4 linked regions of the Astyanax mexicanus genome follow. The protein of the gene in region 2 purifies or fractionates together with the protein of the main gene of each other region. This does not show direct contact. Links are inferred from orthologs where the notes say so. Each region holds a gene or a part of one and is shown on either strand. Other genes may lie near its edges. The genes, in order: recql4, sirt1, brinp1 and ect2.

Region 1 (6,918 bases), on a different chromosome or scaffold from region 2:
TAGGATTTTTTAGGACTTTTTGCCCAAATTTAAGCAAAAATGTGTAATTTAATGCATTTCCCAATATTGGAAAATCTGATGAAAAAGTTGATGGCCTCTAAAGGGCCTCAACATTTTCGGAGCACTTATGAATGTTAATTTTTGATGGCTTTTTAATTACCTATCTTCTCATTTTTTCCTCAAGGTGTTACCTGGAAAGGACTGGTGTCAGATTCTGATGGGTGTGTGGGTGTGGCTTCGCTCTGTGAACGTTTGGTCAACGTTCTTCCTCAGTGCTTTTCATTTCCACACTCTGAGACGGACGGCTCCTCCCATTACCAGCCTGAGCGGTCCCCGAGGTTTACCCAGAGGAATTCTAACGGGGTTCGGTTTAATCTGGAGCAGCAATCTCCTCTACTCCGTACCTGCCTTCATTTACTCCACCAGCGGAGGAAAGAACGCCACAGAGGTACGGAATCACTGGTTTGAATCCTGGTCATGCAGCTTGCCATCAGCTGCCGGAGCCCTGAGAGTGCACAATTGGCCTTGTTCTCTCTCTCTGGGTGGGTACAGTACAGTAGATGGCGCTCTTCTCTTTCTCCTCATCACTCCTAGGGTGACGTGGATCAGCACAAGGCTGCATCTGTGAGCTGATGTAACAGAACCGAGTCGCTAGCGCTGTGACGCTACTCGGCAATGCTGCATCAGTGTACTGGTCTTTACCATCCCTGTGTTGGGTGATTCAGTGTTCTTGCACCATTTAAAAAGTCAAATTTAATGCTTTTTAAGGCCCAAAAGTTCTCTCCCCCGTAACGTTAACATAACTTTCCGCTGACGTTAGTACATTAGCTAACTCGCCGCTAATGTTAGCTAGCTTTCCACTAGCTAATTTACAGTAAACCAAGACAATTTAAGACCTTAATTACCTAGATTTTATAGGTAGATTTCAGCAGCTTGATGATTGAAACAATTGGCTACATAAATTGGGAAAAATGGGAAAAAAATAGAAATAAATTTAAAGAAAAAATAATAAAGTCATGCATGAAAAAGAATGGGAGTTAATGGGAGTAACAAGGGATGTAAAAACAACAAACGGAAGAGCATGGCTTAGTTCAGTTGAATCAGAAATTGTGTTTCATGAAATTTGTATTTATTACCTGCAGTTTGTTGGCTGTTCTCACTAAATTTCCTCCCTTCTGTCTCTTATATATTAAACTACAGACGTTAATGTTGGTGAGCAGCACCACACGTCCGTTACTGGGCTGCCTGTGGGATTTTCCCTCCGTCTACAGCGGTCTGGCCTTCGCCACCACCTCCATGGTGATCCACGAGATCATCCCCATCGTGCTCATGAGCGTCACCAACCTGGGATCACTTCTCACACTGTACGCACACGGAAACACCCACAGCACCGGGAATAAAGCCCAGGACGCTCCGGTCATCCGCAGGGTTCCTGCAGAGAGACGAGCTGCCAAGGTCAGAACATTTACTGCCACAACTTTCATTTATTTTCAATAAGAAGCTGCACTGCAAAAAATTAAATCATAAAAAGTAAAAAAAAAAAAAATCAAATTTAAGGCTATAAATCTTCTTCTAAATTCTTTCCTGATAAGACTTTTGGTCTTATTAAGCATCGTGTAAGTGTTAGATTATTTTGCTTATTTTAGGAATAATTGTCCCTTTCAGACATGAATTAATTGATCCAGTGATGGAAAATGTAAGAATGCTGTTTTCTTTTTGTAATCCAAAAAAAAGACACTATTTAAAAATAAATGTAAAAAATACATTTTATTTTTAATGCACTTTACATTTCAAACAAATGTAAAAAAAGAAAGTGCTAATTGATTAAAACTGATTAAAATTGATTTAAAACTTTAAATTGATTTAAACTTTTTATTCCTAAACATAACAAAAAAGTGTTCAAAATTGCAGAGAATTAGTAAAAATAAGCTTATTTTTAAGATAAACTTACCTTTTTTGTTCTGTAGTGATTACATGCCCATTTTCTTTTTTGTACAATGCAGTGGGCGGGTCTAAGCTAGTTTCATTGACTGGTTTATGATCTATTCTGATGGACAACATCAACGTCTCAATTAGTGTTCTGTGTAAATTAACATTCAATAAAAAGAAACTACATGATGTCCATTGTAATTGACACAGGGTCTGTCAGTCATACTTCAAATTTTTACTTTATTTTAAGTAATTTGAACTCAAAATAAGCATTAGGTTATTTTTCTTATTTTAATTAAGTTATTCTGTTTCTTTTGTCCAAATGTAAGGCAAGAAAAAAACGTTTTTTGAATGTTTTTGATTGATTTAAAGCTTACCGCACTCGTTTTAAGACTTAGCGATTGTTTTTTTTTTTTTTTTGTAATAAATCTTACTAAGAAAAATTTGCTCACCCCATTGGCAGATTTTTTTGGCTTAATATAAGCATATATGTCTTAATTTACATAAATCTTGTCTAGTTTTTGACGATAGATTTTTTTTGTATTGTGGCTCTATGATGCGAGCTCAGCTCAGCATCAGCAGCCGGAGTCTGAGAGATCCCTCACACCTGATCTAGATAATTAATGTTTTTTAGCAGCATGTGAATGTTCTAGATTCAGGTACGTTCAATCTGAAATCTCCAGGGTGGTAGATCTCCAGGGGGCTGCTCAGCATCAGCAGCTGGAGTCTGAGAGAGAGCACAAATGGCCTTGTTCTCTCTGAGTGGGCATATTAATTGTATTAATTTCTCCCTTATTTTTTTTGTATTTCTCCTCTTCAGGTGATTCTAGCCCTGATCCTTCTGTTCATCGTGTCCTGGGGTGCAAGTGTGATCTCAGTGAACTACTTCAACTACAACCGCGGAGCTTCATCTACGTACCTGTTGGTTCTGGCCCGTTTCTCCAACAGTCTCTTTATAGCTTTGTCTCCCCTGATCCTGGCTGTGGGACACCGGAGACTCAGACAGTTCTTTAAATCCATCATCTCTCACTGACTGACTTGTGTTCTGCAGGTTTTAAGGGACGATACATTTTAATGCAGTAAAGTAATATAAACTTACTTTAGCTTGCTAGAGTGATATTGTCATGATAGGTCTTTTATTCTGAAACCTATAAATACTGTGCCATGCCAACTAATAATAAATAAAGGGCTTGTATGGTGCCACATCTATGTCAAAAACACCAGGTGACAATAATAAACATGCAAGTTTTAACATTTTATCTGTTCAGTTTTTTTTTTTTTTTTTTGCAAATTCTCACGATTGCTGCCACTAGTGGTCCAAAAAATTTTAACACAGATTACAATATAATATAACACATATTTTGGGAAAAATCACTAGAACGTGCTCAGTGTCCTCATGTCATTAGCATAGCCGCCATTTAGCTATTTTTCATGTTTTTGCTAATTCTATGCTAAAAACATTCACTGTTACTTTCAATCCTGTTACTCAAAACATAAAAAGTAACAGGAATGAGTGCCAGTGACAGGAGTGAGTGCCATTAACAGGAGTGATTTGTTTTGTCATAAATATCAATTATTTGAACATGCAGTCAACCATTTCTTTAAAATAAAGACTTTCTTGAGAGAAATCAGCTTCAGTTTAGTAATCTTGTAAAAAGGTTGACCAGCACATGTTTTAAATCGTTAAATACATGCATTTTTAGATTAAGATTTTTAGAAAAAAATAAATAAATAAATTTGGAAGACTTACAACAAGCAAATGGCACCCATTTGGTAGAATGTCCCATAAATACAAACAATACAACACTATACAAAGTCGAGGCCATGCATTATTACTGTTATTATTATCGATTAAATAAAGAAATAAAGAAAAACATTGAAAGTGAAAATGTGTCTAAACTGTTTTTTTTTTTTTTTTTTTTTTAACGTGGGACTCTTATTTTGACAGGGGCCGGTTCGACGTCTTCCTGTGTTTTCCGACCGGCTTGAGGTTTGGCGCGCTGAGTTGAAAGGAGCTCGAGCTGAGAGCTGAAGCTGAATCTGTAGGATAGTTAGTTAGTAAAAGGCTGGTTATTTGGTTTATTTGAGTTATTCTGGTGAAGTTATTAAGTTATTTCTCTTGTATAAACTCTCACCCATGCGCAGCCTGTTATTGTATGTTATAATATTCACTGTAGCCTAATAAAACCTGTAGATAAATTAGGAAGGTTCTCTCAGGGCTCAGAATGGACCGATATAACGATTTAAAAATCCTCCTGAAGAAATGGGAACAGTCCTTTATGCAGATAAACAACAGGAAACCCAACAAGGTAACATTAGCTACATGTTTACTCCTGTATATCTTCTTATACTGAGTGATTTAAACATTATTGTTCAGATGTGAGTTTCTGTTGCTCTCGGTGAAGCTGTGTGTTTACCTGCAGGCTGGTTCCTGTTGTAGTTGTGGTAATTTTAAGCTAAATAATGATTTATTAATATATATAGATAGATAGATAGATAGATAATTAGGTTAGCTAACTTTAGCTAATGTTGTCATGCTTGTGTGTATTTATTTTTCTATTCTTTAATAAATCTCAGCTCGCCCGTGCAAATGTACACCATTTGAGATAATACCCTATTTGTTTTAAAAGACAGTGATTAAATCCGAATAAACTTGATATTCTAAAGTAAGCTGGATAAAAAAGGGTAACCTCCTAGAAATATGGAGGAATAATAACTTTAATAATATCTACCATGGGAAAAAAAAAAAATATATATATATATATATATATAATATTTATTTATTTATATATTTATATATATATTTTTTTCCATGGTAGATATTATTAAAGTCTATGTGATGCTGCGATAGATAGATAGATAGATAGATAGATAGATAGATAGATAGATAGATAGATAGATAGATAGATAAGGTTAACCTCCTAAGAATATGAGAAAAAAAAATTAAATATATGATTTAATTGTCTATTTTATTGTTCTAAGGACAACATAAAATCCTAACAGTACAAACACAAATTAACAGTAAAAACTGTACATGTTTACAAAAAAACACCTGATTATAATCTTTGTTCTTTTTATTACATGTATATGTATATTTGTGCGTTTGCGTGTGTGAGTATATAAATATAGTAAATATATGTATTAAACATTGTTGATTATGTCAACTATCTGCTGTATGTTAATATTTTTAGCAGTCAGTTGAATAATATAAGCAGTTCTTGTTCTACATTTTGTGAGATTTTAAAAGTATGATAATCTTAGTTTTACGGTAACACATTGGGTGGTATTTCCAAAAATAATCCTGTTGTTGTTTTTATTATATATTTGTAATATTATACATAGACATTTGAAGGAATGTAAACCTTAAACAGTTTTTTTTATACAATAATATGTCTTTTTTTTTTTTTTATAAACTAAATAAAGAAAGCTACAAGTGAGATGTTTTTCTCAATTAATTATCACATTTTTTATGGATTAAACTGTTGATTTCTCAAATAATTTAATGATTGCTTTTTTAGGATGATATTGATGCAGCTCCAGAAGAGACCAGGCGTAAGTTAATAATCAATTTTTAATACACTGCACGTGTTTTTGTCTCTTAAATAAAAAGTTCTGTTTGTATATATTCATTATGTCCTGAATATATTTGCTCTCTTGCAGAACTTTATAAAGAGTATCGCACTCTTAAAGAGGCGAAAGTTAGTGGAGAGAGTGATGTTCAGGTGAAATCACAGGAATCCCAGTCTGCAGGAATGGTATGTACCCTGATTTATGCAGTGTTTCTGTGTTTATCTGTGTTGATCTGTAATTGTGTTTCCGTATGTTTAAATAAATTATGATTGTGTTCTTGTGATTAAAAGGACTGCTGGGGGTCTCACCTTAACCGAAAGAGCATGCCAGTGGCTGCACCCAAACTGACATTAAAAGACAAAGAGACGTTGCATGCATCTGCTCAGTACTTCGGCATGAAGCTGAAGTCTAATCTCGGAGCTCTGTCAAAGGTAAGTGTCGGCCTGTCACGATAACTATAGATGCTCGTAAATAATACACATAACATGTGAACCTACCACAAGAATATGCATTATCTATGTATGCATGTACTTATGTTATAAATTGATTGATTAAGTTGAATAATGTATTTATCACAGCTGGCCTAGGCAAGTGAGAATTAAATTGTATTAAATTGCAGAACTGTTTATTGCTAAAATGAACCACTGTCTGACACCAATTTTAACATGTATCGTATTTTGCACTATAAGGTGCACTGGATTATGAGGCACATTTTATGCGACACTAGGAAGAAACAAGGGTATCACCATGTTTTCCTTGTAATTCAGAAGGCGACGAGACCTGTGAAGCTGAGCTACCTTAAGTAAACATAACTGTAATTCTTAAAAAAAAAAAAAAAGCATTTTCTTTTAAAGTCAAAGTAGTGCTGGATGTTAATCTAGAAAACTGTTTATTTGGGTGAGAAAAGCGCTTCCCGTTTATTTAGAGTAAGCTTAGATTTCCAGTTTTTCACTAAGGCTGGGTACAGCAGCATTAGTAGCTTATTTTAACAAGGTAAACGCACAGGCCACAGGCCGATATACTCAACTATGAATGGCGCGGTTAGCGGCTAATGCTAATACTGCTGCACCCAGCCTTAGCGCTTCAGAGGCTTTATTGAAAGTCACCTTTATAAAGCTGTAATTCAGTGGAGTGGCTTTATTGCTACTTGAAACCTGACTGGTAGAATTTATACATAAGGAGCACTGATGATTTTTGTGAAAATTAAAGAATTTTAAGATTTACTGATTTTTCTTGTTTTTGAACTGTGTTTAATTACAGTATTGGTAAACTAAATATTGTGATACAGCATGATTCATGATACTGTTATTTTCTTACACTCTTATTAAATTGACTGTCTAGCAGTGTAGCTGTCTTATCTGTCTGTCTACCCATCTGTCTTCCTGCTTATCTTAAAATTTAGGAACGATCATTCTCCCT
Region 2 (7,652 bases):
GACCTTTGCAAATTTAAAAAATGGCCTAGGATCCCTTCTGAAGTAGTCAATATCAAACATTGCTTGAGGATCTGGAAGGTCTGGAAAATCAACAGCAAGTCGAGCATAAATTCCATCTCTGGATCTGAAGTCGGGTATTCCACAAGAAACAGATACCTGCAGAGAGTGAAATAAAAACAGAATCACTGTTACAGCTGAAATGTGTCCAAACAATAATGAATAAAAAAATCAAATTACTATATTGTCACATTAATTACCAGATTTTAACTATATAAAATCAATCTTCTGTAAAAGACATGACACTTAAGATTCAAAACTATTTACTGAAGCACTAATGAATGAATCAGTGGAATAATGTGATTTCCATATAAATTGTTAGAAAAAGGCCTTGAAAAATCCAGAAATCTGTTGTCAAATGTGAAAAATTGCACAATAATGACTGGATAATACAAACTGTTGGGGGAGACAAAATATTGATATCATTACATCATATCACTGTGGTGGTGCTAATCAAATTAATAGGGTAAACCTGCTAAATATGGTAAAGCTGCTGTGAATAAGAATATTGGTTGTCAAACTATGTGAAACTGACACCAATAAACGTGTAATACCTGATTTTTGTCTTTTTTTTAATGAGTTTTTGACTTGTTAAGTTTCTAATGTAGCAGAATCACAATATCGTGGTTGCATCATTGTCATGGTCAGCATATTGTGATAATATCGTATTGTGAGAGGCCCTGTGAGTCCTACCCTTACTTCTAAGTACAAAACAGGACAACAAGCTTACAGAACAGTGTGAATACTTCTAATAAACCAAGGGACTTTTTTTTTTATTTATACCTGATTATATCAAGATGTTAAACCTAATTAAATAACTCACCCCTGCTCCAGTTAGGACAAGTATCTTTTTGCCATCATTAAGCAGTCTGACGACATCCTCCAAGGTGTTAATATCTTTGCGTTTCTTTCTTTTAGGAGGCTCAGAAATATTAATGATAATCTGCCACAGTGTCATGTCGTCTAGATCAGGTGGAAGAACAGTTTCTGGAAGTAAGTCTTTCAAAATCGTCCTCGGGTCGGTCTCTCTCATGATGTGCTGCTGAATGAAACGGTAGGAACCTGTCCAATCACACAACAATGCATACAGGTTAACATTTAAAAAAGCGATGCACTAATGTGAATATTTACAGATATCTGAAATTGTACTGAAATGAAAGCTTGTTTGCCACTAGTTCGAACATACCAATCTGAGGCTGAGGAGTCCAGTCACTGGAGCTGGCATGAGAAGAGCAGTCATCATCATCTTCATCATTAATATTAGGAGAGTAAAACCCATTTGGGCGGACACTGCCGTCGATTACCCCTGTAAAAGAACCAGAACCATTAATATCAAGCACTTTATGTACTTACGGCAAAGATTTTTAACCTAAAGCACAACAATGACACATGTGCTAACTCTGTTTTACTGGTAGAAACTCATTTCAGATATTAGCTATAACATATTTATTAGTACAAAAATTTAGATCTGCAGATCTAAAAAAAAAAAAAAAAAAAAAAAATCGTATTGTTTTGTTATAAAAGTCGTATTGTTTTGTTATATTGTTGTTCATTTGTTTTGTTATATGTGTGTTGGTTGTATATGCTGTGAATTTGACCTAATATTGTGTCTATTTCAGTATGTTAGATTGTATTTTATATAAAAAAAATAATAGTAAGTTAGGTTATCCAACCTAACTTACTATACAGCTAACTTTACAGCTAAGACAGTCAGTTTTACTGATTAATTAACGTTAACTAAGTAATTCTGTTATTGCTGACTATGGTAGTATTCTAGCTTAATTAGTTTCTTCAGATCGATCAATAAAACTGATAAAATCCTAATTTAGCGTTAGCCAAAAGATCCTATGCTCTTCCTTTCCTGGGGCAGTCCTGATGAGTGCCAGTTTCATCATCATGTTGTTTTGATGGTCTTTGCATGATTGCACTTAAGGATACTTCCATTTTTTTTCTCTTTACATAGTTGAGTATTTTTGACATAATATGGATTAGAACATATAAATTCCTAGATATTTTGAAGCTTTTTAGTCTTATTTGAAATTTATTTTCTGTTTGTGTGTGATTTTGTTTTGTTTTGTTATATGTGTGATGTTGGTTGTATTTGCTGAGAATTTGACATACTATCTTGTTTATTCATTATGCTGGATTGCATTATATACAAGAATTAAAAATAATAATAAAAAAGTTTGTTAACCTAGCTAACTTTACATCTAATACAGTCAATTTCACTTGTTAATTTACTAGTTAATTCTGTTATTGCTGACTACGGTAGCTATCTAGCTTAATTAGTTTCTTCAGATAGATCAATAAAAGTGATAAAATCCTGATTTAGCGTTAGTTAATAAGGATATTAATATAACGTTATATTTAAATTCCCGCTGCTGTTGGGTAACGGGAAAAGCTAGTTAGTTAGCTGACTGGCTAATTCAGTCACCGAACCATCGCGAGATTTTGTAGCCAAATCTCGCGCTAACATTAGCCTCGGAGCAGCCGCCAATCGTCCCAAACCCCCTCGGTGTGATCCGGTTACCTGAGAGCTCGTGTTCCGCCGCGGGTTCGGGAGTCTGCTCGCTGTTAGAACCGTGTTTACTGTTCTCAGACATCAGCAGTCCGTCAGCGGGTTCCCCCGGCGCCGCGGCCTCAACCCCCGCCTTCCCCGGCTCCTGATCCGCGGGCTGGGTTAAATCCTCGGCCGCCCGACCCTCAGCGAGCTCCGGCTCTCCCGCGCTCTGCTCGCCGCGGGTCGGATCCGGATCGCGGCTTTTAGATACACTAATCCGCGCTTTCTTCAGCACAGGCTCTTCCGAGTCACCAGAACCGGACCCGGTACGAGAACCGGCTCCTTTTAACGAAGCCTCCCCGTCCGCCATCTTCCTGTGCTCGCGCCGTTCCTGATGTGATGTGATGTAATGGACACGGGCGCCGTACGAGCTCGCGAGCCTCTCACCACACACACACACACACACAGCTGGGGGATATTTAACCCGCGCACGTGACTCCCGCTCCGCCACTACAACAACGTGAATGACGTCAGTCAACGGAGCCCTAACAAAGACAGGAGAGCCCATAATAAACCCCACAAACCAGCAGATTCATACAGATATAAATCAATAAAACAGATTATTCAGCTGATGCAGACAAGTTTCAACTGTGTGTTCTGTACATTTTATTTAATAGTATTTTTCTGGCAAATATTATTTACACAAATCCCACTATAATAGTCGATAATTTAATTAATTATTTCGAATAAGTCAAATTTAATTTATTAATAGTCATTGATAATTTCAGAAATGTCCTAACATAGATTTAAAGATTCAATTTTTTTTTAAGTTTATTGTCATCTGCACCCTTAAACACAATAAAGTACAATAAACTTCTTTCTTTGCTTCTCGAAAATGATCCCACATAAAGAGAAAAGTATAAAAAATACAATAAAGCAAGAAATAATAAAGTAAATAAATATAAATATATAATACATTGGTGTTAAATTTACATCAATAATTAGGAACCCACGCATTTCTGGGTATTGATACCAAACTCAAAATTAAATCAGAAAAATTCAGTGAGCAGCCCATTCATGTTTGTTTCCTACCGTGGACACACAATAAATATTGTGGACTTAAATATTTTAAGTTTAAAACCATAATGCAACATAAATGACACAAAAAGTATTTCCTAACTATTATGAACATTTATACATTTGTTATGCATTTGTTTTAGAAATCATGTTACTTCAAACAATACACTTTAAAACTGAGCTTGTTTAGTTTTATCTCCAGCCCTAATCCTACAGCACTCCTACTGTACTATTCTGTATAAATGAACTCACATGAAGGAACACAGATTCACACACTGTCTTGTAGTGATGATGCTCTCAGGATGTTCAGTACAGTCAGTAAGAAACTTTACACAGCTTTTAAATGGTCTGTGACATATGTTACTGTGGGTTTCTTTTTTGATAACAATTCCATAAATGTCCTGAGAATAGTAGCTGGCTGTAAGATATACGTGGGATGTATTTTGTATAGTGTTTTAACATTTATAGTATATAACCTAATATACTAAAATAATAATAATAATAATAATAATAATAATAACAATAATAATATAATTGCATAATAATAATATTATATTATTTAGTTTATATGTATATATTTTATATGCTTTATAAAATGTGATCAGTATATTAATAAATAGAATCGCTTGTTCTTTATATAAGAATTTCATATTAATTTGACAAATAGAAATGCATAACTTATTTAATATTTATTATTGACTTCACATTGACTTTACATTGGCAGTGTTGATTAGATGTATCCGGTAGCTTGTGAATGTTTGTGCTGCTGTTTTAACGAATGAAAATCAAAAACATTTAGTTTTGTCTCGGTCACTCCGGGTCCGGTGGGCGCGGGGTTTAGGGTATTTACGGTAGAGTCCGCGACGGCGGAGTTCAGAGAGCTGCGGGGGAAAAGGCTGCTCTTATGGAGGCGATACTGAACTGCAACCCGGAGGATCTGGAGGATTATTATGGGCTGCTCGGCTGCGACGAGCTCTCTACGGTAAGAGTTACCCGCTGTACCGGCTCTTCTACCCGGTATCAGCCTCCAGCCAGGCGGGGGATGGAGGTTAACGGCTGGGAGAGCCACACACTGACCAAATACTGACTAAACACTGACCCAACACTGACCACAGACCAAATACTGACCAAACACAGACCACAGACCAAATACTGACCAAACACAGACTAAAAACTGACCATACACTGACTAAACACAGACCAAATACTGACCAAACACAGACTAAACACTGACCATAGACTGACCGAAAACTGATCAAACACAGACTAAACACTGACCATACACTGACCAAATACTGATCAAACACTGACTAAACACTGACCATACACTGACCAAACACTGACTAAACACTGACCAAATACAGACTAAACACTGACCAAATACTGACTAAACACAGACTAAACACTGACCATACACTGACCAAACCCTGACTAAACACTGACCAAATACTGACTAAACACAGACTAAACACTGACCAAATACTGACTAAACACAGACTAAACACTGACCAAATACTGACTAAACACAGATTAAACACTGACCACAGACTAAACACTGACAATACACTGACCAAACACAGACCAATAACTGACCAAATACTGACCAAACACAGACGAAACACTGACCAAATACTGACTAAACACAGACTAAACTTTTATGTTTATTTTTTAGACTGAACAAATTCTCAGAGAGTTTAAAGTGAGAGCACTGAACTGCCATCCTGACAAGAACCCCAACAATCCCGCAGCAGGTGAGCTGATTATAATTTATTATGGCTTTACATATACATTTTTAGGTATGAAATCTGAACCTATACATGTATATTACAATATACATATTACACTTAATTTTAGAGTTAAATGGCGGCAATCGCATTTGACTTACTGAATCATTGATTAACTATACCAGCTTGTGGATGATGCAGCACATAATACTGAATAAATTCATACATACTGATCAGATGATTTGATTTTCTTGCTGATACTGTGTGTGTTTTGCAGTGGAGGAGTTTAAAAAACTACAGGAGGCTAAAGATGTTCTGACTGACGAGTCGAAAAGGAAGAGTTATGATTTCTGGATGAGGAGTCGGATCACTGTGCCGTTTAAAGAGTGGCAGGCACTGAGGGACTCCGTAAAAACCGTGAGTGACATTATCGACTGGATATTGCTGATCAAATAATCACATTTATTTATGTGTGTGTACAAAACTATATTCAATTACTCCAATATATATTCTATGTTATATGATGTACAACAGAACATAATATACAGAGTATTACACACAACAGACACACAAACACACTCTCTCTTCTGACTTCATATGTACTGAATGAATGTGCTAATAACTGTCAATCATTTATTGTCTCTAATTGTCTCCAGTCAGTGCACTGGGCTGTAAGAACCAAAAAGGAACCCATGCTTGCTGCACCACAAGATATATCTGAAGTCAGCACCGAAACCAGAGCCATCCAGTCTGAGGGTCCAGATTCCATAAAGGAGGAAACATCTGGTGAGATTTATTTTGTTTCAGTAAATAACTTTCTGGATATATTTTTATTATGAAAGTCTGCGCGAAAAACTAATATAATAGTAATAAAATAAAACATCGAAAAAGTAAGGCGATATCACTATGATCGGAGAAACGTGAGTTTGAATCCTGGGTCATGCTGCTTGTCCATCAGCAGCTGGAGTCTAAGAGAATACAATTGGCCATCCTCTCTCTGGGTGGGTAGGTGGCGCTTAATCCCCTCATCACTGGTCAGCACAGGCATGAAAACTGGAGAAAATTGGGTAAAAAAAAAGATTTAATAAATTGGTCTATCTGTCCATCTAATTCTGTTTTTTTTTCTTTCAGGTGAGGATTATTGGTGTCACAGATTTCGCTGGGCAAGTGATGCTCCCTCAAGCCTGTTGCAAAAGTTTAGAAATTATGAAATATGATTATAATTATAAGCTCTTCATGCTCCAGACTTGCTTGCTGTAATTTGTGGTAATGGTTAATATCTTACAGAGATTATTTCTTATTGTTAAATAGATTAGACTTTGTGTGTTTGTATGTTGTTAAATTTATAAACTATGTTAGCTGTTGGATAACTATGGGAAATGTGTGCTATACTGTAAATGTTCAAGCTCTCAAAAGTTAAAAAAAATGTGAAGAAAAAAACATGAATAAAAACAGTCACAAACTGACAAAACCACTGTCAAAAACTGTTTATTATCATTGTGGTGGTACGTACTTTATTTACTCCAGATACACACATGTATATGTGTTATACTCATGCTTTATACACTATACTAAGACTATATCCAGTACTCATGCTTTATACAGTAGACTCACACTATATACACTATACTCAAACTATATACAGTATACTCACACTCTACAGTATACGTGCCGTGTATACAATATATTAATTCTACACACAGTATTTTCACATATACACAACACTATATACACTATACTCATCCTATGTACAGTATACTCACCAAATGTATACTATACTCACATTATAGAGCGCACGCATGTACAGTATATTCAGATTAAATATAGTATACTCATATACACTAAAATAATTTTATATAGAGTAAAATCACACTGTGTGCATGGTAAGATTTTGAAGGTGAAATTTGCAGAGTCCATGTCTCGAGGGGTCAGAATTGTTTTAGGGGCAAGAGGGGGACCTACTCAATATTAGGTGGGTGGTTTTAATGTTATGGCTAATTGGTGTATATTATGCAACTTTTTTAAAATAGTAGTTATTTTTACTCACGTGCTGCTTATGATCAGCTGTGCTGGTGAAGCTCACTTCAGACTCATTTCCTGAAGCCCCGCCCACTGAAAGCTTATTGGTGGAAGAGAGGTGACTGCTGCAGGATTGGAGGGTTTTGGTGTCAGTCATTTCTCCCAGTCGGTCAAGTTCAGTCCAGCTGACTGTCGGGTCACAATAACACCAGTTACACCAGTAGCACCAGTAACACAAACAGCTCCTGCAGTGAGAGTGATAGAGATGGCCAGTA
Region 3 (7,465 bases), on a different chromosome or scaffold from region 2:
AATAGTTCATATAAACGAGTCATTATAAGTCACAATGTGCTTTAATGTGCTAGCTATGTCCTTGTTCTTCAAGCCAAAGGTGTGTTTTGGCATTGGCTATGGACTATGTTGGTCCTACTGTGAAAAATGTCCATGCATGTGAAAAAATAGCTAATTCAGGAGCCAAAATGTGCTTTACTGTGCAAGCTGAAGGTGCTGTGGCTGCACAGAAGGGGATTTAAGCCTCTGTACAATGGAAAATGCCGGCTAAAAGGGCATATTCACATTGATTATGGACTTTTATAGGGTGATAATATGACATATTTATGGATATGTCTGCATTTAATTACAAAATAGCTCATTTATGAGTCAGAATGTGCTTTATTTTGCAATATATGAGCATGCACTTGAGTCTAAAGGTGTGCAATTGTATTGATTACAGATTACGAAGGTTATAGCATTTAAAAAAAAGCCATATGCATGAGAATAATCATCAAAAGAGTGCTTTGTTTTTTTGGCAAAAACTGTTTAAAACCTTCTAAAAGTAATATAAACTGGTACTAATATAAAATCAAGCACGTAGCATCAAAAAGATGCATGCATTTGAAAAAAATAGCACATTTTAAGTTGTAATTTTGCATTATTTCCCTTATTTCCCCATCTAAACACTGGCCTATGACAGAATTTGAAGGTTAAAGCATTAAAAAGAGTCAATGCATGTGAAATATTAGCTAAAAAATTACTAGCTCAACCAACATGTGCTTTATTATGCAATCTTTAGACAAAAAAGTGGTTTAAGCCGGCAAAATAGTGCATATAGTGCATATTTCCATTGACTATGGACCACAAATCAGCTAAATATGGTTTATTTTACAAGAAATCGGCTTATTTTTCAGCGTAAAGGTGTGCTTAAACACCGCCATGAACACAGACTGTGAAATAAGCCCATGAATCTAAAGAATTAGCTCAAAAATGATACAAAATCTGCTTTTTATTGCAAGAAATGGGCACATTCCTCAACACAAATTGGCACATTATCATTGCTTACGGGCTATGAAGCTCCTGCTATTGACTAACTCCATGTCTCGGAAGAAATAGCTCATTCTGAAGCCTGGGAAATGTGCTGTACTGTGCAAGAGCTGACGGTGCTGTGACTGCACAGAAGTGGTTTCAAGCCTCCGGACAATCATATCTACGTTAATTATAGACTATAAAGAAGCTCATAAGAAGAAAATGTGATTTATAATACAAAGTAGCTTGAGATTTAACCAGAATATCCATTATTTTGCAAGATATGGGCATGATCTTTAAGCCAAATGTGCTTATTAACGTTGATTAAAGACTATATAGATCCTACAGTAAAAAGAAGTCTATGCTTCTAAAGAATTAAGTCAAAAATGACTCAAAAATTGTCTTTTTTGCAAGATATGAACACGTTCTTCGAGCTATGGGTGCATTTTAATGTTGCTCATGGACTGTGAAGGTCTTACGGTTCGAAAAGTCAATGCATCTGAATAATTAGCTTAAAAAATGACACAAATTGTTATTTATTCAGCAAGAAATGAACACTTTATTCAAGCTATAGGTACATATTAACATTGCTTACTGGCTATATAGATCCTACTGTAAAAAGAAGTCTATGGTTCTAAAGAATTAAGTCAAAAATGACACAAAATTTGTCTTTTTTGCAAAACACGAACATGTTCTTCGAGCTATAGGTGCATTTTAATGTTGCTTATGGACTGTAAAGGTGCAACTGAATAATTATCATTTAAAAAATGACTTAAAATTAGGCTTATTTTGCAAGCTATGTACCTTTTCTTCAAGCCAATTGTGTCTATTAACCTCGGCTATGGGGTGTGAAGGTCTTACTGTTTAAAAAGTGCATGCATCTAAAGATATAGCTCAAACATTACACAAAATGAGCTTTATTTTGCAAGCTATGAACACGATGTTCGAGCTATAGGTACATATTAACATTGCTTATGGACTATAAAGATCCTACTGTAAAAAAGAATCCATGCATTTGGAGAATTAGCTTTAAAATGACACAAAATGAGCTTTATTTTGCAAGCTAAGCAATTGTGCCAATAAAGGTCTCACTGTGAAATAAATTGCATGCTTCTAAAGAATTGACTCAAAATTATGCAAAATTTGCACTGTTTAGCGAGATATATGCTACATTTCTTCAAGCAAAATGTGCATATTATTAACTATGGAAAAAAGTCCATGCATCTCAGAAACGATCTAAAAAATGATGCTTTTCTTCTTCTTTTTTTGCATGATGCTATTTTGCATTATTTGCGATGCATTTGTAAATTGGGTATTATTTTGCCAGTTTAATAAGTGGATGTATATATTTATACATCAGCACGCGCTAGACCCCCAGCCTGGGACACACAAGAACAGTGCACTGAAGGTGCACACCGGACGCATCAGCATCAGCAACATCAGGACCAGCATCATCAGCTTCAGCACCAAACCCCGGAGTAAATCCAGTAGAGCCGCACGCGCCTTAGAAAAAGCTCTTTCTGCACCCAAAACCCAGCAAACAACCGAGCAAACAAACCCAGAACTCACCTAAAACCGGTTCCCTCCCGTGGGCTGGGCACGCGCTGCCCGCTGCTGTGCTGCGTTGGTGGCCGAGAGGAGGCGCATCCAGGGCTCGCGCGGCTGCTGGACTGCAGAAGCACGGGCAGCCCAGCTCATGCTCGAGCGCGAGAGGAGATGGGCAGCATCGAGCAGGAGAGAGAGAGAGAAAAAGCGCAGGAGCTGCACGAGAAGAAAACGACGACGGCGGAGGGATGGACGGAGGGATGCACGTGAGAGAAAGAGAGAAAAGAAGAAAGGAAGAGAGATATCCAAGCCCGGGAAAAACACACAGCAGACTGCACGGCACAGCGCGCGCGCACTCTCTACCTCCCCACCGATAGACACACTGTAGTTCAGAGAGAGAGAGAGAGAGAGAGAGAAAGAGAGAGAGGAGCGCGCGAGAGCTGAGAGAGAGAGAACACGAGCGCACACGGGAGGGTTAGAGCGCGCGCGAGAGCTGAGGCTGAGAGAGAGAGAGAGAGAGAGAGAGAGAGAGGAGCGCGCGAGAGCTGAGAGAGAGAGAGAGAGAGAGAGAGAGGGAGGTGCCGAGAATGCGGTTTAGGGATTGGGGAGGGTGGTGGTGATGGTGATGGGATGAAGGAGGAAGGAAGGGAGGGATGAGTGAGAGAGAGAGATACATACAGAGAAAAAGAGCGCGAGAGAAACAGAGAGAGAGAGAGGGAAAAAGAGAGAGAAAGAGGGAGAAGGATGAATTGAAAGAGATAAAGAGAAAAAGAGAGATAAAGGGAGGGAGAGAGCAGTAGCTAAAACATATTAAACAGTGTGAAAAAAAAAGAAGAAAAGATGGGAAAAAGGGAGGAACGAAGATGACATGAAAGAGATAAACAAAGACATAGAGAGAAATGAATTGAAAGAGATAAAGAGAGAAAGGGGGGCAGGAGATAAAAAAATATAAAATAGAGTGGTAGAATGGACTAAAAAGAAAAAGAAGAAAAGATAATGGAGTGATGAAGGTAAGGAAGGAATACAGAGAGAGAAAGAGAAAGAGAAAGAAAGGAAGCAAAAGAGAGTTATGAGTTGAAAGAGATAAACAGAGAGAGAGAGAGACACATTGAAAGAGATAAAGAGAGATAGGGGAGACAGAGAGAAAAAGAAAGAAAAAAAAGAGAGAGAAAGAGAGAGAGAGGGACAACTTGAAAGAGATAAAAAGAGAGAGGGGGAGAGAGAGAAAAAGAAAGAGAGGGATGACTTGAAAGAGATAAACAAAGAGAAAAGATACAGAGAAAAAGAGCGTGAGAGAAAGAGTGAGAGAGGGAGTGTGTGAGATAGAGAGAGAGAGAGGGATGACTTGAAAGAGAAACAAAGTCATAGAGATAAATTAATTGAATATATACATATATATATATATATATAAAATAGAGTGGTAAAATGGACTAAAAAGAAAAAGAAGAAAAGATAATGGAGTGATGAAGGTAAGGAAGGAATACAGAGAGAGAGAGAGAGATGACTTAAAAGTGATAAAGAAAGAGAGAAAGAGAAAGAAAGGAAGAAAAAGAGAGTGATGACTTGAAACAGATAAACAGAATGAGAGAGACAAATTAAAAGAGATAAAGAGAGATAGGGGGTGACAGAGAGAAAGAAAAGAAAAGAGAGAGAAAGAGATATATATACATACAGTGTGAGAGGGAGTGTGTGAGAGATAGAGAGAAAGAGAGATAGGGATGAACTGAAAGAGATAAACAAAGACAGAGAGATGAATTGAAAGTGAGAGGGAGACAGACAGGAGATAAAAAATATATAAAAAGAGAGAGAAAGGAAGCAGAAAAGAAATGAATTAAGAAAGAAAAGAATAAATAAACAGTGCTAAAGAAAGATGAATAGAAAGAGAGAGTGAGATAGAGATTAATTGAAAGAGAAATAAAGAGAGAGGAGGCAGGAGATAAAAATATAAAAGACTGTTGAAGATGAAGAAGAAGTAAAGCGTGAAGGATGGTAAAAATAGAGGAATAGAAAACGAGAGAGTGAACTGAAAAGAGAAAGAAGAAAAGATGAAGTGAGTGATGAATATGAAGAAGTAATACAGAGTGGTAGAGAGAGAGAGAGAGAGAGAGAGAGAGAGACTTAGAGATAAGCAAAAAAAGAGAGGGATAAATTAAAAGAGATAATAAGAGAGAGATGAGTCAGGAGATAAAAAGACAAAAGAATAAAGAATAAGAGTACACTCTAAAAATAGAAAGGAACAAAGAGAGAGAGAAGAAAAGATAAAGGAGTGATAAAGTAAAAAAGCAATAAAGAGTTGGACTAGAGAAACTATGACAGAAATGGAAGGAAGGAAAAAAAGAGTGAAAGAGAGAAAAAGATTGATTGAGGTTTGAGGAGAGGGATATATATGAAAGTAGGATACGTACGAAAAAAAGTAGGAAGATAAAAGTTTCATAGTTTCATAAAAAATACAATTAAAAATTAACAAATGATTTTTATTTGAATTAGAATTTTAAAAAATTGGAAAATTTTTATTTAAATGAAAAAAAAAATTATGATTAACTGTCTGGCTTCTAAATGCATGTTTTCCTGGCTTTTAGTGTGACTATTTATCAAATACATATTTCATTAAAATGGAATTCAAAAGAAAAGTAAGATCAACATATTTATATTTTTTTGAACACAAGATACTAAATAGATTTTTTGGGCAAATAAATTGATATAACAAAAATGTAAAAAAAAATCCCCTTTAATTGTATTAATTTGATATTTTAATTAATGTTAACTCAAGTTCTTTTATCCCCAATTACTGAACTTTTTTTAAGGCAACCAGTTTGCTATATATATTTTTTTTAAAGTAAATTAAACTTATACAAGCTTACAGTTTAATAAAATAAATTGGTGCAGGTTTAACGTTGAGCGTTTTAAATCTTTTTTAAAGCTCTGTACACGACTCTGCTGCTCGTCTTCATTGAACTCTGGGTCAGGAATAATGAATCTGGAGGTCCTGAATGCTTTTCTGTTCCCCAGCAACATCTCCGGCTCCAGTGTTCTGAATGGGTTCCGGCTGATCCTGCGCTGATGAGCGTTTCTGTAAAGCTGTATCTGTATAAAAGCAGCGGCTCTGAAGCGCCGGCCTTGAGACGGCTTCCGTCAGACACTTCACTGAGCTTCAGGACGTAATCCCGGCTCACGCAGGACTCAGGAAGAGCAGAGGCGACTGAAACGAAGCGCAGGAGAGGACGAGACGCTGTCCGTGGTGCTGAATTCAGATCACTGTCCTTTTAGGCTCGTCTCCAAACGGCTCTTCTGCACTTTAGACTGTTCTGCACTGCTGGACCAGACAGCAGCTGCCTGTCCTGTCCTTCTCTTAGTCTCACTGAAAAGTTTAAACCCTTAAAAGCTCAGAATTACAGAGTTACAGTCCCTCCAAAAGAATAGAAACAGTGAGATCAAATCCATTTATTTCTGCTGTGAACTTAAAACATGTGGGTTTCTCTTTTAAAAATGAATATGAGACAAAATATCAATATTTCAGAAAATTAAAAGATTAAGAGAGCACTTAAGTTTCTGAATCGGTTTCTCTGATTTTGCTACGTATAGGTGCATATTTGAGTAAAATTAGCATTGTTGCTTTATTCTATAAACTACAGACAAAATGAGAAATGGCTGAAATAACAACAACAACAACAACAACAAAAAAAGATGCAGAGTTCATATTCATAAAGTTTTAAGAATTCAGAAATCAATATTTGGTGGAATATCTCTGGTTTTTAATCACAGTTTTCATGCTCCTCCACCAGTCTTACACACTGCTTTTGGATAACTTTATGCTGCTTTACTCCTGCTGCAAAAAATCAAGCAGTACAGTTTGGTTTGATGGCTTGTGATCATCCATCTTCCTCTTGATTATATTCCAGAGTTTTTTTAATTTGGTCAAATCAAAGAAACTCATCATTTTTAAGTGGTCTTTCATTATTATATACTTTTTTCAGAGCTGTGTATTGAAATTAATGACCCAAGTTTTGTTGCTAATTCTACTTAGTATTTTAAGATCCACGTAGAGAAAAATGTTCATTTCTTCTTACTTTTTAGTTTAATTTGTGTAGTAAATATTATATAAGCAAGCCTGGATTTGTTCAATTTATTTACATTGCCTTAACAATGAGTTGCAAAATTTAGTTGCAAGACTTGGTTCAAATAGATGCTTAATTGTTCTTAGTAGTGTCAGTTTAATTTATAAAACATATTCAATAATTTATAGTTTGTACTGGTAATTAACATAAATTACTAAATAATTCACCACAGGTACAGAGCACGTAATTTATAATATACTGAATATAAAATACTGAATGATAAGTGTAGAATAATTGAAAGTGGATGCTGAGAAATTAATAGTAGATAGTGAATCGTTCATAGTAGGTTCTGAACAATTTATATTAGATATGAAATACTTAATCATTTTAGTGAATGATGTAAATAATTTATAGTTGATACTGAAGAGTTCACAGTGGATACTGAATAATTCATGATGGATACTGAATAATTCATAGTAGATACTGAATAATTCATAGTGGGTACTATATAATTCATAGTGGATACTGAATAGTTTATAGTAGTTATAGAATAGCTCATAGTAAATACTGAATAATTCATAGTAGATACTGAATAGTTCATAGTGCATTCTAAAAAAGTTCATAGTGGATACTTAATAGTTAATAGTAGTTACTAAATAGTTCATAGTGGATACTGAATAATTCATATTAGATTTGGAATAAGTCATAGTAGATTCTGAATAGTTCATATTAGATATGAAATAATTCATAGTAGATACTGAACAATTCATAGTGGATACTAAATAATTCATAGTGGATACTAAATAGTTCATGGAAGTTATAGAATAGCTCATAGTAAATACTGAATAATTCATATTGGATACTGAATAATTCAT
Region 4 (6,974 bases), on a different chromosome or scaffold from region 2:
CTTCCTGTTACTAGTTTGTTTCACAATAAAAGTCATTTAGGTGAAAACAGGAAGCAAAGCCAAAAACTTATACATGGTGTGTAAATATCAGAAAAATATTAATATCAAAAAACCTTCCAGACTTTAAACGACTAGTTATGTTAGCCATGGTTAACCTAGGACTTTACATGTAACTCATATTAATGAACACTCAGTGTTACCTAATAGCCATTAGGAAATCACTGGTCTTAAAATCATTTTGGCAGCATCACAACTTTTCCCTTATAATCTCAGTTAAGCATTTTATCTCCAGTAGGGGTGTCAATATGGTGCTAAAAATAATATCATGATATTTATTGGTATTATGTGGTATTTTCGCAATAACAATACTCTTGGCAATATGAGAAAACACTGAATAATATATATAAATATATATAAAACATATGATATATATATATATATATATATATATATATATATATATATATATATATATATATATATATATATATATATGTATATATATATATATATAAACATATAAAACACATACGTATATATAGACAATATATGTATATATACGATATATATATACTATATATATATATATATATATATATATATATATATATATATATTTCAAGAATACACTACTGCAACAAAATGAAAATCTAATTGTATTAGTGCATACGATATAATATGCTACACCCCTAACTGAGATATAAAAAAAAAACACGGATTTTTATCAGATTTGTAACAGAAGTCAATTATCCAGAATGTCATGATACTAATAATAATGCACTCCAAATATCTCCATATTCCCAGGATTAAAGTAAAATAAATGATACTGGACAGATATAATCTATAGTCTCTAGTAGATATACCGGTATAATGGTAAATGAGAACAGAGTGATTTTTTCTTTTGCTAAAAACTGCAAAAAAAAGTAGTACACTGATGTGATAATTAGGGGTGGGTGATATGGCACAATATTTTAAGGGTATAATATTATAGTTCAAGATATTCAAAAAGGTTGGCGATATTATTGTGCACGATACAATATGGCACACCACTAATCTCCATTTCTTTCCTTCGAGCCATTTCTTGGTGGATATACTAGACGTTTTCAAGAGTCATTGTCATGTTGCATGGTCCACCTCCGCTTTAGCTTTAGTTTTAGTTTTAGTTTTTGGTGCAGACAGACAGAGAGAGTCTCACTTTTTTCTCAAGCCTCCGTTGATACAATAAAGACTTCACAGTGGCTCTATTATGGAGAATAACATATAATAAGATCACTTACCTTTACAGTAATTATTTTATATATTTCTTTAATATATATATTTCAAGAAAATAATAATAATATATATATATATATATATATTAAATTCTTTAATATATATAGTTTTTGTCTATGGATCTATTTTATTCAGTGATGAAGGGTTAGGATTAGGAATTGAGGAATCTCATTTTGTAAGTCACCCCATCTGTTAATAGCAGTGAAATCGCTCCTTGCTCTGAAAAGTGTCAGTTTAATTTCTTCTAATTTCGTTTCTTCCTGCCAAACTGTCAAACGGGAAGCAGAGAAAAAGACAGCTGAAAAAAGCACTTCTGTTTCTTTTCTTTTTTTTCTTTTTTTTTTGAATAAATCCAAGTTCATTTGGTCTTGATGATGTGAGGAATATAAAAGGTAGCACTAGCGGTACAGGTGAGGTTTTAGCGCAGCAGGTGAAATCCAACCTGCTGTTTAAAAATGCAGCAAAAACACTGTCTACTCTATGACAAATAGTATTTTACTACAGCGCTCCATTCCCTAAATAAATTCCGTTCGCTCAGGAGCTCTCTGAAATCTCAGAAAGACTACCTACTGTGACTTTGTGATAGACGTTCATCTTCTGCCACGCGACCGTTTAGTTCATGTCAGGTGGTCCACCTGGGGGAGACCGCTGGGTGCGCCTCTCAGAGAGTGACAGAAAGGAGAAGGTGGTAAAAGCAGGCTTCACCGGGCTTTGTTCTACAGAGGGGGGCTTTCAAGCTCCAGTGGGCCTATGAGGAGAGGCAGAAGGGGGGAGAGCACACAGTCGCAACAAAGGGCTGAATCTGCCACACAGTCACTCAGAGTCAGAGGCTAAAAAACAAAAAGAGAGAATCTCTCCAGTCCTCATCAGTGTGTCCTTCAGCCCGGGCACAGACACAGGTTTCTCAAGGCCCCTCTGAAGCCGGTCCCAGCAGCCTCAGCAGCCGCAGGAGCAGCCACCCCCCCTAACCACCGCCTGGGAGGAATTGGTTATGAGCCTCGGCCTCTGGAGCCGCCGCGCTGGTGAGCTGGAGCAGAACAAAGACACAGACTTTTGAAGAAGCTCTCATTTGAAAAAAAAAAAAAAAAAAAAAGGGCCAGTCTTCTTCTTTGTGAAATGATATGGGAGACAGGCGACATCTTCATTTTTCAGAGGCCTGTCATGTGGTATCTGTGTTGGCTTAATATTTAAGATGCGCAGAGCAGTGAAGTCCCAGCAGCAGCTTAATAAATATTTATTCTGTGAAGACTCAGACTTCAGACTTCCCAGCTTCACTTACTTACTTCTCCTCTGTAGTTCTTGGCTTCTTATAAACAGACAGGTGGATAGCCTGTGGTCAAGTCAACACATTTATGCAATTTAACATTAAGACAGTTGCTTAAAGAGCACCTTTATGTTAATGCTACTGTCTGCTTATATACAGTTATGTGCCTGGGCTGGCGCTAGCCATTTGAGTGCTCACCTTTTTCAATAATTTATTGGTGTAATTTGATAACAGTTTGATTAGTTGGTTTTATAGGACTTCACATTACTCCAAATTGCCACAATAATATCACTAGATACTTAAATCCTGAACAGTATCAAAAAGTCTCTTTAAAGATTTAATGGTGGGTTTGTTTGTTATATAAAACAGCTTGATTTTCTGGTTTTATACGACTCCAAAATCTGGTTTATTAAAAACCGAAAAGACATTTTTCCTAAGTTTGACTTTCCTTTACTTGAAAATGCTACAGTAACATAACTTGATACTTACTGTACATCAATAATAGTATGGAAATGGTTCTTCAATGATTTGCTGGTTTTATAGGACTCCAAAATCTGGTTTATGCAAAACCGAATGGACATTTTTTCTAGGTTTGCCTTCACATTAATCCAAATTGCTACAGTAATGTCAGTATATGTAAATGTCTCTTAAAGGATTTAATGACTTTATTTAATAAAAGTTTGATTTACTGGTTTTATAGGACTCCAAAATCTGGTTTGTGGAAAACCAAACACACATTTTTCCTAAGTTTGATACTTGATACTTAGTCACTCAATACTTACAGTACAACAATATTAGTATAGAAAGGGCTCTTCAATTAAATTTTTCCTCTTTTTTAAATGAACTAAAATGCCTGTCCTCAAAAAGCTAACCTAGTGTTTGTGATAAATTAAATTAAAAAAATAATTAGATAGTTTCTCAAAATATATTTAAATAATGAGATAGCATCTCAAAATAACGAGATAGTATCTCAAAATAACTAGATATTTTCTCAAAATGTCTTTAAATAAGGAGATATATTAAAATAATCTAAAAATATCGATTTGTTATCTTAAAAAAATAAATGATCATTTTAGAATAATGAGATAGAATCACAAAATAACGGCATAGTATCTCAAAATAATGAGATTTTGCCTCAAAAAAAAAAACTTTGTATCTTATAATAAAGTTACTTAGCTAATAATGATACATAAATATGTGCTGGATTAATGTTGTGAATTAGGTGTGAGGAATGAGCTTCTATACTAGTGAAGAGATGATTTAAAGCAAATCGGAATAAAATAATCTGAATAAAGTATAAACTGTTTTCTCAGTCAGCCCAGCGCACGCGCCCCGCCACTGCATCGCGGTTTGAATTTAACAGCCAATCCGGAGCCACTTCCGCCAACCTCATCCGCCTCAGCCAATCAGCGCGCGGCTCCTCGGTGCGGCTGTAGTTTTGAATTCAGAACGGGAGAGGATCTGCTGGAGGAGCACAAAGCTTGAAAATGGATTTAATGTTTACACTTGTTTCCTAGCGTTTCTCAGCCCACGCGCTCTGTCACACCCGTGTCCGGCGGTGTGGTTTATTTTATACGGGTTATCGCTCGGTTTTTGGGGCGGTTTGTTGTGTGTTGGGTAGTTTAACAGTGGGAAAGGGAGGCTGCGGGGAACTCTGTGTAGCTGCTAGCCGGCCTCCTGCTGCTGCTGCTCAGCCAGGCAGCTCAACTCTCAGCTCCAGCAGACCTTTCAGCACTGTCCCCGGGCCCGACCTGACTCTTGCTGACCCCGGGTAAGTCTTCTTATCTCTGCTTCCTCTCTCTAAACACATTTATTAACTTTAACCACTGCTTTTTGCTTTATTTTTAAGGTTTTTCTTAGTAGCAGTGCTTCCAGTAGCCCCCCACCTTTAGCTAGGCTAGCTAACTAGCAGACAGCTGTCACTGTTTAAACACAGCAGCTAAGTAGCTAAACTAACTAGCTATTTTTAATAAAACTACATCATTTTAACCTTTATGTTATTGTCAAATGTATGTACACCCTTTTATTCTTGGAGGAAATCGGCCTTGGGCTCATCAGAACTTTAAACTTTAAGAAACTTGACCTAATATAGCTAAATAAACATGTTACCCTACCCAACACAGGTTTGTTAACTGGTTAATTAGCTAAGTTAGTTAGTTAGTGTTAACCTTGTTAACAACTTTAAATTATTTTTATTTTATGTGTTAGTCCACAAAAGGAAGATAATAAGAGACCACTTAATGATGTTTTTCCTTGATCTTGCAAAATTGAAAACCTCTGGAATATAATCAAGAGGAAGATGGATGATCACAAGCCATCAAACCACCAAACTGAACTGCTTGAATTTTTGAACCAGGAGTAAAGCAGCATAAAGTTATCCAAAAGCAGTGTGTAAGACTGGTGGAAAAGAACATGATGCCTAGTTGCATGAAAACTGTGATTAATAACCAGAGTTATTCCACCAAATATTGATTTCTGAACTCTTAAAACCTTATGAATATGAACGTGTTTTCTTTGCATTATTTGAGGTTTCATTTTTTGCTAATAAAAGGTCTGTGTGTATGTACTGTATATTAGTTGCTGTCCAATGAAAAACAAGTATTTACATTTTGTTAATTTTTTAGTTTACTACATAACTTAAACAGACAAACTGTCCCTTTACACTATCAACATTTCTTTATGAACGGACAAATAGAAAAATTTCAGCATGACCTGAAACAAACTCTTTTTACATCGACTTCCATTGAAAATTTAGAAGTTTTTTTCTCTCTTACAAAGTTGCTGTTTTGGAGATACTTTTTTTTTTCAATGCATAGCAACTATTTGTAGCATTCCTAAACTGTTTCCAGTTGCTTCCAGACAAACTTTGGATAACTCTTCTTTTCTCTACCTTTTTACCTACTATTTTACTAGCTTGAATAGATTTATTAAGTTTGCCAAGAGTGTTAGCTAGCTTAGTTAGCTACTTAAGGCTAGCTAGTTAGTTAGATTAGTTAACTAACCTAGATGGGTATAGGGATGTTTAATAGTAGGTTAACTTTTTTTGACTTTAATTATGTTCCAATGATTAAAAAATATGAGAAATGCTGTTTTCCAAAAAAAAAAAAAAAAAAAAAAAAAATATATATATATATATTAATGTTATGTTTAACTTGTTGCCCTTATTACATATAATACACAACATTATGTTGATTTCTTTTTCAGAAATGTTAAAACAGTGAATAGGCACAGAATTTTCCCAAATATAAAAGGAAGATTAACATAATGTTCCAGTGAGTTTGAGTGCAGCAGTTTTACAGTAAGTAGGGTGTAATTTTCTCTAATGTCATTTGTTGGATATTATTATTATGGACACTATGAAAGCAGGCACTACAAAAAAACAAAAAAAAACCCATAATTTTCCTTTATTCTGGGCATGACTTCAATCTCCAATATTGGAAATAATAGAACTTTACTGCTAATTAGAATAAATTGTCCCATTATAACTGAAGCACATACAACACAACGAGTCTAAATATAGCTACACATAGGAAAAAAGTTTTATACTATAAAAGTTAAGTTTCCTTTTTTTTTTTGAGGGTCATTGTTTGCAGTTTGCTGAACATAGAGTTCACGACTTTCTCTTCTCCCTTTTTGATGTAACTGTTAATTTTCTTTTGGACAGGATTGGGTCACAGCACCATGGCTGACAGCAGCATAGTGACTTTGGGCATGGCCCGTAGCCTGCTGGTGGACTCGTCTGTGTACGACTCCAGAATGGCAGAGACCTCTAAGGAGCACACCTTCCTGGGGCTGGCTCCTGATGAAGCAGAGGGTAAGTGAGGTCTCCACTGGAGTAATATATCAAATAAGATTTGAATTATTTCTTTATTTTAGTTTAACATGCTTCTGTCACTTTATTCTAAATTGAACAGAGGAGCCCAGATTTCCATTTTTGTTTGACGTATGACAGTATATGTATTTCCTGGGAGACTTGCCTTGATTCTTGTCTTATTCTTATTCTTTCAGAAATCCTTCGCCGAGTGGAGACTAGAGTAGTGCTGGTGGGAGAAACAGGCCACGATCCTGAACTTGTAAAGGCATTGGAGGTAAAGTGGGATTGATTGCAATTTACTGTCGATAAGGAAAAATCATATTATGCCTGTACTGTATTTAACACATAGTGACATTATGCAAGATTAGCCACAGTGATACATTTTTGTTATTTTAATTTTTAGTTATATTTATATATATTTTTTTGTGTAATGGCACTCAGTAATGATTACTGGTAGAAATCACAGGGCATGGATATTATGACTATACACTGCCCACAATTATATCACAATACTATGATTCTGCGATATATATCGCACGACAATCATCTACGATACTTTCACAAAATTTGACCAGTATTAAATTATTATGAAACATTGTACAAATAACGTGCATTGCTTAGCTT

What was found.
Region 1: the proteins of sirt1 (region 2) and recql4 purify together in Homo sapiens (affinity purification with mass spectrometry; 3 studies listed by BioGRID). This does not show direct contact. The link is inferred for Astyanax mexicanus from reciprocal best matches to the Homo sapiens genes SIRT1 and RECQL4.
Region 3: the proteins of sirt1 (region 2) and brinp1 purify together in Homo sapiens (affinity purification with western blotting; 6 studies listed by BioGRID and IntAct, with this or other methods). This does not show direct contact. The link is inferred for Astyanax mexicanus from reciprocal best matches to the Homo sapiens genes SIRT1 and BRINP1.
Region 4: the proteins of sirt1 (region 2) and ect2 purify together in Homo sapiens (affinity purification with mass spectrometry; 3 studies listed by BioGRID). This does not show direct contact. The link is inferred for Astyanax mexicanus from reciprocal best matches to the Homo sapiens genes SIRT1 and ECT2.

Annotation. Positions count from the first base shown.
Region 1 is NC_064410.1:3,356,202-3,363,119, forward strand, and holds the start of recql4 (ATP-dependent DNA helicase Q4), read left to right. Parts: upstream 1-3,911; 5' UTR 3,912-4,154; coding exon 4,155-4,238; intron 4,239-5,447; coding exon 5,448-5,481; intron 5,482-5,589; coding exon 5,590-5,684; intron 5,685-5,789; coding exon 5,790-5,930; intron 5,931-6,901; coding exon 6,902-6,918. Other genes in the region: olfactory receptor class A-like protein 4, read left to right, coding at 185-448, 1,201-1,455, 2,750-2,962. UniProt on the Homo sapiens protein: An ATP-dependent DNA helicase which unwinds dsDNA with a 3'-overhang in a 3'-5' direction. Does not unwind more than 18 bp of dsDNA. May modulate chromosome segregation. The N-terminal domain (residues 1-54) binds DNA Y-shaped DNA better than ss- or dsDNA.
Region 2 is NC_064414.1:2,518,285-2,525,936, reverse strand, and holds the start of sirt1 (NAD-dependent protein deacetylase sirtuin-1), read right to left. Parts: upstream 3,025-7,652; 5' UTR 2,928-3,024; coding exon 2,588-2,927; intron 1,364-2,587; coding exon 1,244-1,363; intron 1,120-1,243; coding exon 881-1,119; intron 157-880; coding exon 4-156; intron 1-3. Other genes in the region: dnajc12 (dnaJ homolog subfamily C member 12), read left to right, coding at 4,539-4,616, 5,307-5,385, 5,636-5,775, 6,015-6,144, 6,490-6,575; cytochrome c oxidase subunit 5B, mitochondrial, read left to right, coding at 7,643-7,652. UniProt on the Homo sapiens protein: NAD-dependent protein deacetylase that links transcriptional regulation directly to intracellular energetics and participates in the coordination of several separated cellular functions such as cell cycle, response to DNA damage, metabolism, apoptosis and autophagy.
Region 3 is NC_064408.1:4,680,173-4,687,637, reverse strand, and holds the start of brinp1 (BMP/retinoic acid-inducible neural-specific protein 1), read right to left. Parts: upstream 3,021-7,465; 5' UTR 2,560-3,020; intron 1-2,559. UniProt on the Homo sapiens protein: Plays a role in neurogenesis and brain development. May suppress cell cycle progression in postmitotic neurons by inhibiting G1/S transition.
Region 4 is NC_064423.1:4,513,359-4,520,332, reverse strand, and holds the start of ect2 (protein ECT2), read left to right. Parts: upstream 1-3,963; 5' UTR 3,964-4,307; intron 4,308-6,200; 5' UTR 6,201-6,217; coding exon 6,218-6,350; intron 6,351-6,544; coding exon 6,545-6,624; intron 6,625-6,974. UniProt on the Homo sapiens protein: Guanine nucleotide exchange factor (GEF) that catalyzes the exchange of GDP for GTP. Promotes guanine nucleotide exchange on the Rho family members of small GTPases, like RHOA, RHOC, RAC1 and CDC42.